Linked DNA regions of Macaca mulatta. The protein of the gene in region 2 purifies or fractionates together with the protein of the main gene of each other region. This does not show direct contact. Links are inferred from orthologs where the notes say so. Each region holds a gene or a part of one and is shown on either strand. Other genes may lie near its edges.

Region 1 (5,293 bases), on a different chromosome or scaffold from region 2:
GTGTGTATGTTTCCGTGTTTAAATATTGGAAGAAAAACTCAGAGTGAATGAATACCCAAGGTCACATGACACATAAGTGGCAAAACCGGTTTGGAATCCAGGTCTGTGTAATCTTGTCCCTTTCTACAATATTCTACTATTCTCTATTGGGCTGCAAGCATTTTTACAATTAAACTGTTCATCACCAGTCATCTTCTGCCTGACAAAGTAAAGGCCACATCTCCCACATGTCTAAAAGGGTTCAAACAGAGAATGAATGGAAAGGTTGAAAGGAAGGTTGAACTCTAGATCAACGATCTGCAAACTTACTTGATCATACTCTTAGCAAAGTACTGTACATACTATATATGTAGCTTATACATCAACTACTGTACTCATATGTTATAAAACATATAGGACATTCCCAGTACAAAGAAATGATAAACATTTGGGATGATGTATATGCTAATTCCCTTGATCTGATCACTATATACTGTATGTATCAAAACATCACTGCGAACCCCATTAATATGTATAATTGTTGTCAGTTAATTTTTTCAATTATAGGAAAAATAAGAGTTTAGAAAGATTAAGATTTTATATAACATTTTAGTTTTTTTATAAATTAGATTTTAGGTTTTATGTAAAATCTCATCTTTATAAAACTTCTGTTTTGCAGATAGATACTTTTTTATGTATCCCTATGGATTGTCTTTTTTACCCATGGAACTGTATACCCCCAACATTGAAGGTCATTGTTTTGGATGATTTCGTAAGAGTCCTTTCAGTATGAAGATTCTGTAATTTGTCCAGAATTTTTCTGAAAGGGCTAATGGTAGCTTACTTCACTTTCAGAAAGGTTTTTAGATAGTTTTTTCTAAAACCAGAACTATAAAGACTTCACTATCGTTTGTAACAGCAATTAAGCCCAAAAACTACAAAGTGTGAAAGGTGCTCTTCTAGATAAATAGTAGCAACCCCATGAGTGTTACAATGTATATATAAAAGGAGATGGAAGTAGGGGCTATTATTAAGTAAGAAACCTGATTTTTATTTGTGACATAAGAAATAGCCTCATTATTTTAGTTATATCTTCTCTTTCTAAACCTATATATATCCAAAACTTACTGTAGTCATATATTCTAAAATGCATCTGAAATTTTGCCTAGAGAGTAATATGAATTTTTGGACTTGAGAAATTATTTTAGCACTTTTTAAAAATAGAGCCAAAGATTTAAATTAGGCTAAGTCTACTGGACTAAAATCTTGATAGAGATATATTCTCTAAGAAGCGAAGAAGTTAGTTACTTGCATTACCTGACAGAGGAAAATGTTAGCTGTTTTTCTACATTCTGGGCCTTAGTTATTGGCATTGCCAGGTTGATGCTTCACAATTAAGACAACTTTTTCTGTTAGTGACTGCTCCTTGGTGATAGATTCTTTAAGAAAAAGTCATCCCAGAACACATAAAGCAGAAAGCAAATCTGGCCTTTGAAAGATACTGTTAATGTTGAGATGGAATTCTAGATCAACAGTGCTCTTTTCTATTTCTTTCTCAATGATACGTTTGGTATCGACTTTCTGACATGACATACTGCAATTTGGTTGGTAGTTGCAAAGGAAATGTTTCTTGCAAGTATGATCAAACTCAGTTTAAGCAAGAGATTGAAACAACCAACTTCAGCTGCTTATTCAGCACAGGACTTAAGTGCCCCGGAGGCTGGGAGTTTCTTAATAATAACTCCTAGTGATCATTTTGTTCTAGAAAATTACCCTGGAAAAGTAGTATAAATAGTTTAATCTGCTATTTCTTAAATTTTTGTATTCCTTTACTCATTCAACAAATAAGTAGTATTCAGTGCCTCCTTGTGCCAAGCACTGAGGACTCATTAGTGAGCAAAAAGGATATTAACCATGTTTTTAAAAAATGTATCTAACATGTACTAAAAGCCAAGGGATGTGGTGATGCATGCATGTAGTTCTACCTACTGAGAAGGTTGAGGCAGGAGGGTCACTTTGAGCCCAGGGGTTTGAGTTTGTGCTATGATGGTGCCACTGTACTCCAGCCTGGGCAACAGAGCAAGACCCTGTCTCTTAAAAAAACAAACAAACAAAAAGTCTAATGAAACTATTGTGGCTCATAACAGCATACTTCAGAAACCCCTGCTCTAGTCTGACTGTGCTTACCTACCTGCTTGCATGTGTTTGTCTTTCTTCCCACATCTCTTCCCCTCCCTCCCTTCCTTCCTTTCTTACTTAATTCTCTTCTTTTTTGTTTTGTTTTTTTTTTTTTTTTTTTGAGGCGGAGTCTCGTTCTGTCGCCCAGGCTGGAGTGCAGTGGCCGGATCTCTGCTCGCTGCAAGCTCCGCCTCCCGGGTTCACGCCATTCTCCTGCCTCAGCCTCCTGAGTAGCTGGGACTACAGGCACCCGCCACCGCGCCTGGCTAATTTTTTGTATTTTAGTAGAGACGGGGTTTCACCGTGTTAGCCAGGATAGTCTCGATCTCCTGACCTCGTGATCCGCCCGCCTCGGCCTCCCAAAGTGCAGGGATTACAGGCATGAGCCACTGCAACCGGCCTGCTTCTCTTCTTTTACATCTCTTTTCCTTCTTTGAGTTAGTGACAATAAGCAAATTTTGAACTCATCTAAGATTAGGAGAAAAACTGTACGTGATATTTATTGTATAAAACTTGCATGGTGGAGTTAAACAGGAGATGATAAAATTCTTAATTTACTTTATAAACCAAATGTTACCTCACCTGTGCAGCTCTCAAGGTGGGTATGTTTGTTTCTTCTTCCAGAAACCGTGTCTCTTTAAATGGGTTTATATCATTCTATTTTAAATAAAATTCGTATGTTTTTATACAAGTGTGCTCTTTAGATGCAAATGTTTATATGATTAGAAAGATTTTCATTAGTCTTTCTTTGATTATGTATTGTTTGAATTTGAATCCTGATATGTTATTCTGGAATTAGCCATTTTTGTTTCTATTTCTGTTATGTTACAATTAGTGTATTTCTTATTTTTCAGTGCTTTAATTGCCTTGTTATCTAAACTCTAGAATATATACCAGTTAATTAAAGACATGTGAGTGTGTGGTTTTTTTTTGTTTTTGTTTTTGTTTTTGTTTTTTGCTTTTGTCTTTACTGGCAAATTTAAAGGTAATTGAAAGTATAATTCTTGTCTTCTTTAGCATCAGACAACAGTCAGCGCTTTCGAGAAACCTGTTTTGCGTTTGCCTTGACACCACAACAAGTGCAGCAAATCAGTAGTTCCATGTAAGTTGTCAGCAAGTGTAACTTGCAGTTTGACCTTTGAATCCAGTAGACTAGAATAAATGATTTTAAAAAACAGTGATTGGTGAGTTAGTATTTGTGTGTTGCAAATATTAGTAATGCAAATATAGTGTGTTAATTAAGAACAGTTATGGTAATTTGAAAAACTTTACTAGAGTAACAATGTCTTTGAATGAACTTTCATGCAAATACTTTAAAAGTAATTGTAATTCCTATTCTGTCTCTTCTAGGGACATTTCTGGGACCAAATGTGACTTCACAGTACAGGTCCAGTTAAGGTATAGTGCTGACTATAGGATATATTCAAAGTTTAAAAGATAATATTCCTTATCAGGAAGGGGAGATGGAAAAAAATTTTTAAGGAATAAGAGGAAATCTACCTGATTTTTCAGTAAGTGTATTGAAAGAATTAGGTTTAGATATTTGGGTGAGGGAAAACATTCTCCTGTTACGAGATATTCTAATTTTCATCCAGTTTAGATTTTTTCTCCCACCTGCCCACCCCCCAATTTAGATTTTAATATAGGAAGTCATGTTCTATATATCTAGCCATATTTGCCCTCAGTTGGTTGAGAAGCTCCTGCTAATGATATCTTACAATATCATATCAAGTTTTATGAAAGCATGGGCGTTATCTCCATAAGAGGCAAAGTATTGTGCATGAGGAATTAGTACTTAAGTCTACAGTATCTCATGGACTAACAAACACCGAAATACTCTAATTTGTTTTGTTCTATATTTTTAATAATTTAAATGTGCTCTAATTTAGGATCCATTTGAGACATCTCTTGAAAATTTTCAAAGACTAATGGGAAATTTTCCAACATGGGTTCACAACCCCTTATTCAGTTTGTTTTCTTAGCCCATTCATTTATTTTAGAATATCTAAGAAATCTTTTGTATTATTTCTCTCCCTTATATATCTCCCTTTTATATACATATATATATATCTCCCTTATATAAACCGTGCTTATATAAACCATCATATTATGCTTTTATTATTCAATTTCCCACCCTAAATGTCCACAGTGTTGCAATAGGGATGGAAGAGAAAATGTAAAACAGTTGTTTTCCTCAGTAAGCTGTTTTCCCTATAATTGTTGGGAGGATAAATCAAACAGATAGCCTTGTCTCAATAATCAGATACTAAGTTGTACGTACAAATTGCAAATACACTAGGAGGCTAAAAAAGGAATTAATCTAAAACACCTGTTCGGCACTTTATGGAATCCTGTGAAAACCTCTAATCTAAACTTTGAAATAATAAGGTAAAAACAGTGAGAAAGCAGAGTTGAAGTCGAAAGTTGAGTTGAAGATTCTAAAAAGGATATGACTATGCTTAATAGCTTTTATACCATAAAACAGTATGACAGGACCTTACCGCAGTAGACTAGTGATAATCTAAGTTTCAGTTTTGGAAGGCACTGCCGAAGATGATTCTGTATAAAAGGTATATTTTGTTTCGGCCAGATTGTGATAATGACTGAATAAATTAAAGGACAAAAATAAGATGTCTCCATAGTTAATTATGTATTGCTGTAGTCTACTTCCTGCCTCAACAGTTGACATTTTGCTTGTACTGATACTTGACATTATCCTTTAAATCAGTGGTTTTCAAACTTGTTGCATGGAGCCACCCTTAGGGCCTCATACTCTTCTGCCATCCTCCCCTTCTCCCTCCTCTTCTCTCCTAAACACATACACAGTCTGAACCAAAGTGGGGCTTCTTTTATCTCTTTTATCTGTTTTGCATGTTTGACTCTGGGTTAGTTTTCACTTGAAGACAGAGTCCCAAGACTAAAACAGAGTTTAAAAACCATAGCTTTAGAATAAAAGATCTAGTTACTAAGTATTTTGTATTAATATACATACATTCTTTAAAGCAGCAACAGGTGTGGTCCACATTTTGAAGTAAGGTTGTCTAGATAGATCAGCTATTATAATTCAGATTCCAAGGGAATCCATGACTGCTATTTTAATTGAAATTTATCTCCAGGACTTGGGGGAAAAAAAAAA
Region 2 (5,293 bases):
TGGGGCCTTCAAAAGAGAAAATGTTTTAAACACCAACACTGTATGGGAAAAACTACTTTATTTTTGAACTACTATATTCATGATCTTCAGAAATAAGAGAATCCTACACACATTTAAATTCAAAGAAACAATACAGGCCTCACCAGATACTGCAGTGTTCCCACAAAAGATGTACACAGACTTCCTTGATCAACATCTTTGGCATATCCCAGATCAATTATTTTATGTATTATCTGAAAAATAATAAGACAGATTAAGTATTAAATGGTAGAGAAATTTAAAAAGGAAAGACAACAATATCCTTATAAGGCTATAGAGAGGGTGGTGGTGAGGAGCTTAGGCTCTGTAATATCACAAAAATATTTCAAGTCTGAGTGCCACCACTTAACTAGGTGTGTGATCTACCAAGTTATTTAACCTCTCTCAGTAATCTAATTGGACGACTAACAGTCCCTACCTCACAGAATTGTTATTAGGATCCAATGAAATAATGAAAGTAAAGAAGGTAATACAGTGCTTGGTACACGATAAAAATTAAATACAGGTGGGCTATTAATTTTTATTTTGCTATATTCAAAATAAGCTCGATCCATTAAACTGGAAAGTAAAGGCAAGGCTGACTTCCAAACTTGAAGAAGCATCATACCCCCTTAGAGTGGATTAAATGTGAGTAAATACTGAGATCTAACTTCAAGAATGTCCTGAAGTCTTTGGATAAAAAAAAAAAAAAAAAAAAAAAAGCAGAGATATTTGGTGCCAAGCATACACGAAAGGCTCCTAAGAGAAGAAGCATCACGAAGGTTCCAACACCCCCACGAGACCAACAACTATCTTCACTACCTGAAAAGACAGCACACACAACTCAACCCAAGGCGCAGACTCTTGGCTTTTAAGTCTTTACTGGAATGAAATTTGGACGCTGGAAACAAGAAAACTGCTTAAAAGTTACTAATTAAATGAACATTTTAAGAGTCAATTCACAATTTCTGGTTCTTCTCCAGATAACTCATCTAAATTGGGGGAAGGAAAATAAGTTTTAAAAATATACATACTTTCTTTTTTTCTTAAAGTGAACCCAGGATGTGTGTGTATGTGTTTTGGATGTGCTTCATAAGAATAAAATAGTAAGTGTTAACATATTATGTATTCACTGCCAGTATCTTTGCTAGATACTATGCTGGAAAAACAGACATGAACAAGACAGGTGAAGTCTAGGAGCTGCGTTAAGTATGAAAAAAAAGAAAAAGAAAAAGAAAAAGAAAAAAAAGACAGGTGCAGTTCCTTCTTTAATGGAACCACTGTTTAGCAGAAGGGACAAAAAACTAAACACAAAACTACAGTTCAGTGTGGTAAGGTCTGAAATGGAAAAAGTAAGAGTGTTACGGGCATACAGCAAAGACACCAAAGCTCAAGGACTAACTATATCAGACAGACTATATTCAATAGGCATGAAACATTACTTCAGGTTTCACCTACCTTTCCACCAACGTCCTGAAGAACTATGTTTTCAGGTTTTAGATCTCGATGTATAATTTTGTTTTCATGCAAATATCGAATCCCAGACCCTAAATAAAGTTTAAAATACACTTTGAAGTAACAGAAAGCATTGAGTTAAAAGAAAAATTCACCTCACATTTTGTACAAATCTGCTCTGATGCTCAAGTTTATATGGATCATCGTAACTACACAACTAATATTACAGTAGTTCAGGTTTTCTTCACAGAAAAACGTAACATTAAGCAAATACTACAAAATTATACTATATGTTCATCTAACTCATTAGAATTAACATTAAATAGAAATGCAACAAGCAATTGGGAAAATCCCTGTAATTCTAATAAGCCCCCTTCTCCCACCTAAATCAACCATTTAAATTGGACTTTAGCTCTCATGACCTTGGAAAAGAGGCAAAACCAAAATCTACGCGGAAACAAATTTTTGGTTTTTGAGGTTCCTCCAAAAGGTTAGGTACTGGTTATTTTAGGAATTTTTCTGGAGTCATTCTGATTAAGCAGAGATTTTTCACCCCAAGAGTTGACTTGGCCGGGCGCGGTGGCTCACGCTTGCAATCCCAGCACTTTGGGAGGCCGAGGCGGGCGGATCATGAGGTCAGGAGTTTGAGACTAGCCAGGCCAACACAGTGAAACCCAGTCTCTGTTAAAAATACAAAAATTAGCCAGGCATGGTGGCGGGCGCCTGTAATCCCAGCTACTCAGGAGGCTGAGGCAGGAGAATCACTTGAACCTGGGAGGCAGAGCTTGCAGTGAGCTGAGATCGTACCACTGCACTCTAGCCTGGGTGACAGGGCTAGACTCCGTCTCAAAACAAACAAAAAAGAGTTGATTTGAGGACCCATCTCTCAAGGAGATGCAATTCCACTGTAAAAAAAATTACTATGTCAATGGTGTGGGAGGAGTGAAATTGAGTAAGGTCATTTTGCATGATTTTTTTGTCAGCTATTGGAACACCTATTAGATTAAAAAAGGACTCCTAGCCAAAAATAAATAAAATATCCTAGTTTGTGTGTGTGTGTGTGTGTGTGTGTGTGTGTGTGTGTGTGTGTGACAAAAGTCTCACTCTGTTGCCCAAGCCGGAGTGCAGTGGCCCAATCTCGGCTCACTGCAACCTCCACCTCCTGGGTTCAAGCAATTCTCCTGCCTCAGCCTCCCGAGTAGCTGCGACTACAGGCATGTGGCATCATGCCCAGCTAATTTTTCTATTTTTCTTTTTATTTTTTTGAGACGGAGTCTCGCTCTGTCGCCTAGGCTGGAGTGCAGTGGCGTGATCTCGGCTCATTGCAAGCTCTGCCTCCTGGGTTCACGCCATTCTCCTGCCTCAGCCTCCCAAATAGCTGGGACTACAGGCGCCCGCAACACACCCAGCTAATTTTTTGGATTTTTTAGTAGAGACGGGGTTTCACTGTGTTAGCCAGGATGGTGTCGATCTCCTGACCTTGTGATCTGCCCGCCTTGGCCTCCCAAAGTGCTGGGATTACAGGCATTTTGTATTTTTAGTAGAGATGGAGTTTCACTATGTTGGCCAGGCTGGTCTTGGACTCCTGACCTCGTGATCCGCCCACCTCAGCCTCCCAAAGTGCTGGGATTACAGGCGTGAGCCACCGCACCCTAGGATATAAAAATATCCTGGTTTTAATTTAGCATCAACAGTAATAGATTTATATGATAACTTCTTATAGATGCTGAAATTCTATAGACTTTGTACAGTGTATCAACAATTCTCCTGAATTCCCAAAAAGGTACAGAATCTTTTATGGACCAAAGGGGCATTACATCACAATGGTATTTTAATACTGATTACATACCTATATCACTTAGTAAAGAAAGTATCTGGCTTTCTTTAAGTCCACAACAATTTTCTGGTTTGTTGAGCAGCTAAAAAAAGAAAGAAATCTAAAAATGTGTTCTGGAAATTGCTGGGCTGTAATAGTGACCACACATTAATTACTATACTCTAAGAGAATATTCAATGAGAAAGTAAGTCATAATAAAATACAAGGGAATACAATTACCAAATCCATACTGACGGCATGTAAATTTCATGATAAGGCTCATAAAAGTAAAAAGAAGCAAAAAGCACTTGAAACTGGAAAAGGCTGACAAATCTCAGGGATATATATATAAATGGTCATATGGGCACATTTAAAATTAGGTAAAAAAGAAAGATTGCAATACAGAAAACAACTTTTTACAAGCACCTTAACCACTGAAAATTTCATCTAATACCACTGCTATAGTCCCATCAAACAGCAACAACAAAAATGCATTTTCTAAATCAGGAGTCAACAAACATTTTCTGTAAGGAACCATATGGTAAATACTTTAGGTTTTGCAAGTCACATAGCCTCTGTTAAACTACTCAATTCTGCAGTCATAAGAAAGCAGCCACAGACAATGTGTAAAGAAATGAATGTGGCTGTGTTCCAATAAAACTATTTACAAAACAGGAAGCAGACCATAGTTTTTCCGATTCTTATTCTAGTTTATTATATTTAATATGATTCAAATAATGCTAAAGTTTGTGATTTACTATCTCTCATCTCAAAACATCCACACTACCTTTCGGAGATCTCCTCCAGAACAGTATTCCATTGCTAGAAGAGGCACATCATGAATCAAAATATTCAATTCTTCAGGAACATCACAGGCCTTTACAACGTTGGCATGGTTCAACCTAATAAGAAAGAAAAACATTACAATAAAAAATTTATTTCCAATAAAAAGGGACTGGATTTGAAATGCTACTTAATTGCAGGTGGATGAACAGAGGGGGAAAGATCGGTATTATTTATAATACTCTAATTTCTGATTTGTATAATTAAAAATTAGAATTTTTTAAAAGAAAACATACATAAAAATACCATCACTATTACTACTATTACATTTCTAAGTGCCAAGCAGTAAGCATTTTAAATATATTAACTCAATTACTTGTCACAATAATCCTAATATAGGTAGATTTATTAATACTTTCACCACACAGGAGAAAATTGAAGCACAAATTGGCTAAGTAACACAGTCAGTAGGTAGTCAAGTAAGGATTCAAATCTGGCGTTTTAGGCTGGATGCAGTTGCAACTGTAATCCCAACAATTCGGGAGGCTGAGGTGGGAGGATTGCTTGAGGCCAGGAGTTTGAGATCAGCATGGGTAACACTGAGACCTCATCTCTACAAAAAATTAAAAATTAGCCAGGTGTGGTGGCACATGCCTATAGTCCCAGCTACTCCAGAGGCTGAGATGGGAGGACTACTTGAGCCCAGGAGTTCAAGTCAAGCCTGGGTAACACAGCAAGACCACATCTCTTTAAGAAAAAAAAAAGAAAAAGAAACAAACAGAATTTCCATGTACATGCAGGGCCTGATAATTTATATTGTTAAGCTTTCCTGGTGATTCTGCCACATAACCAAGTTTGAGAAGCAAAATGAAATTAAGCACAGATATATTAGAGTCAGAAAGTATTTATTTCAAATCCACACTTTACCAACCACCAGCTATGTGACTCTATATGCTTCAACTTCCTCACTTACAAAATAATACCTAAATATAAGATTGCTGTGATAAACTGGAAGAATGATCCGTAAAGCACTTAGCACACTACCTGTGGAAGTTTTAAAATATATCTACTTCTCTTTTCAAAAATTTAACTCTCCTCCCCTTGAATGTAGGCTGTACTTAGTGACTCACCGTAACAAACAGAATGTGGTGGAAAAGGATGGAGTCTTACTTCTGAGGAAAGATCATAAAAGATATGTCGGTTTTCATCTTGCTCGCTCAT

Evidence for each region. Proteins that work in one complex are often made in the same cells at the same time.
Region 1: the proteins of CHUK (region 2) and PIAS1 purify together in Homo sapiens (affinity purification with western blotting; 3 studies listed by BioGRID). This does not show direct contact. The link is inferred for Macaca mulatta from reciprocal best matches to the Homo sapiens genes CHUK and PIAS1.

The regions. Positions count from the first base shown.
Region 1 is NC_133412.1:45,694,618-45,699,910, forward strand, and holds part of PIAS1 (E3 SUMO-protein ligase PIAS1), read left to right. Parts: intron 1-3,174; coding exon 3,175-3,259; intron 3,260-3,507; coding exon 3,508-3,555; intron 3,556-5,293. UniProt on the Homo sapiens protein: Functions as an E3-type small ubiquitin-like modifier (SUMO) ligase, stabilizing the interaction between UBE2I and the substrate, and as a SUMO-tethering factor. Catalyzes sumoylation of various proteins, such as CEBPB, MRE11, MTA1, PTK2 and PML.
Region 2 is NC_133414.1:112,269,447-112,274,739, forward strand, and holds part of CHUK (inhibitor of nuclear factor kappa-B kinase subunit alpha), read right to left. Parts: intron 4,192-5,293; coding exon 4,077-4,191; intron 3,393-4,076; coding exon 3,323-3,392; intron 1,566-3,322; coding exon 1,477-1,565; intron 234-1,476; coding exon 144-233; intron 7-143; coding exon 1-6.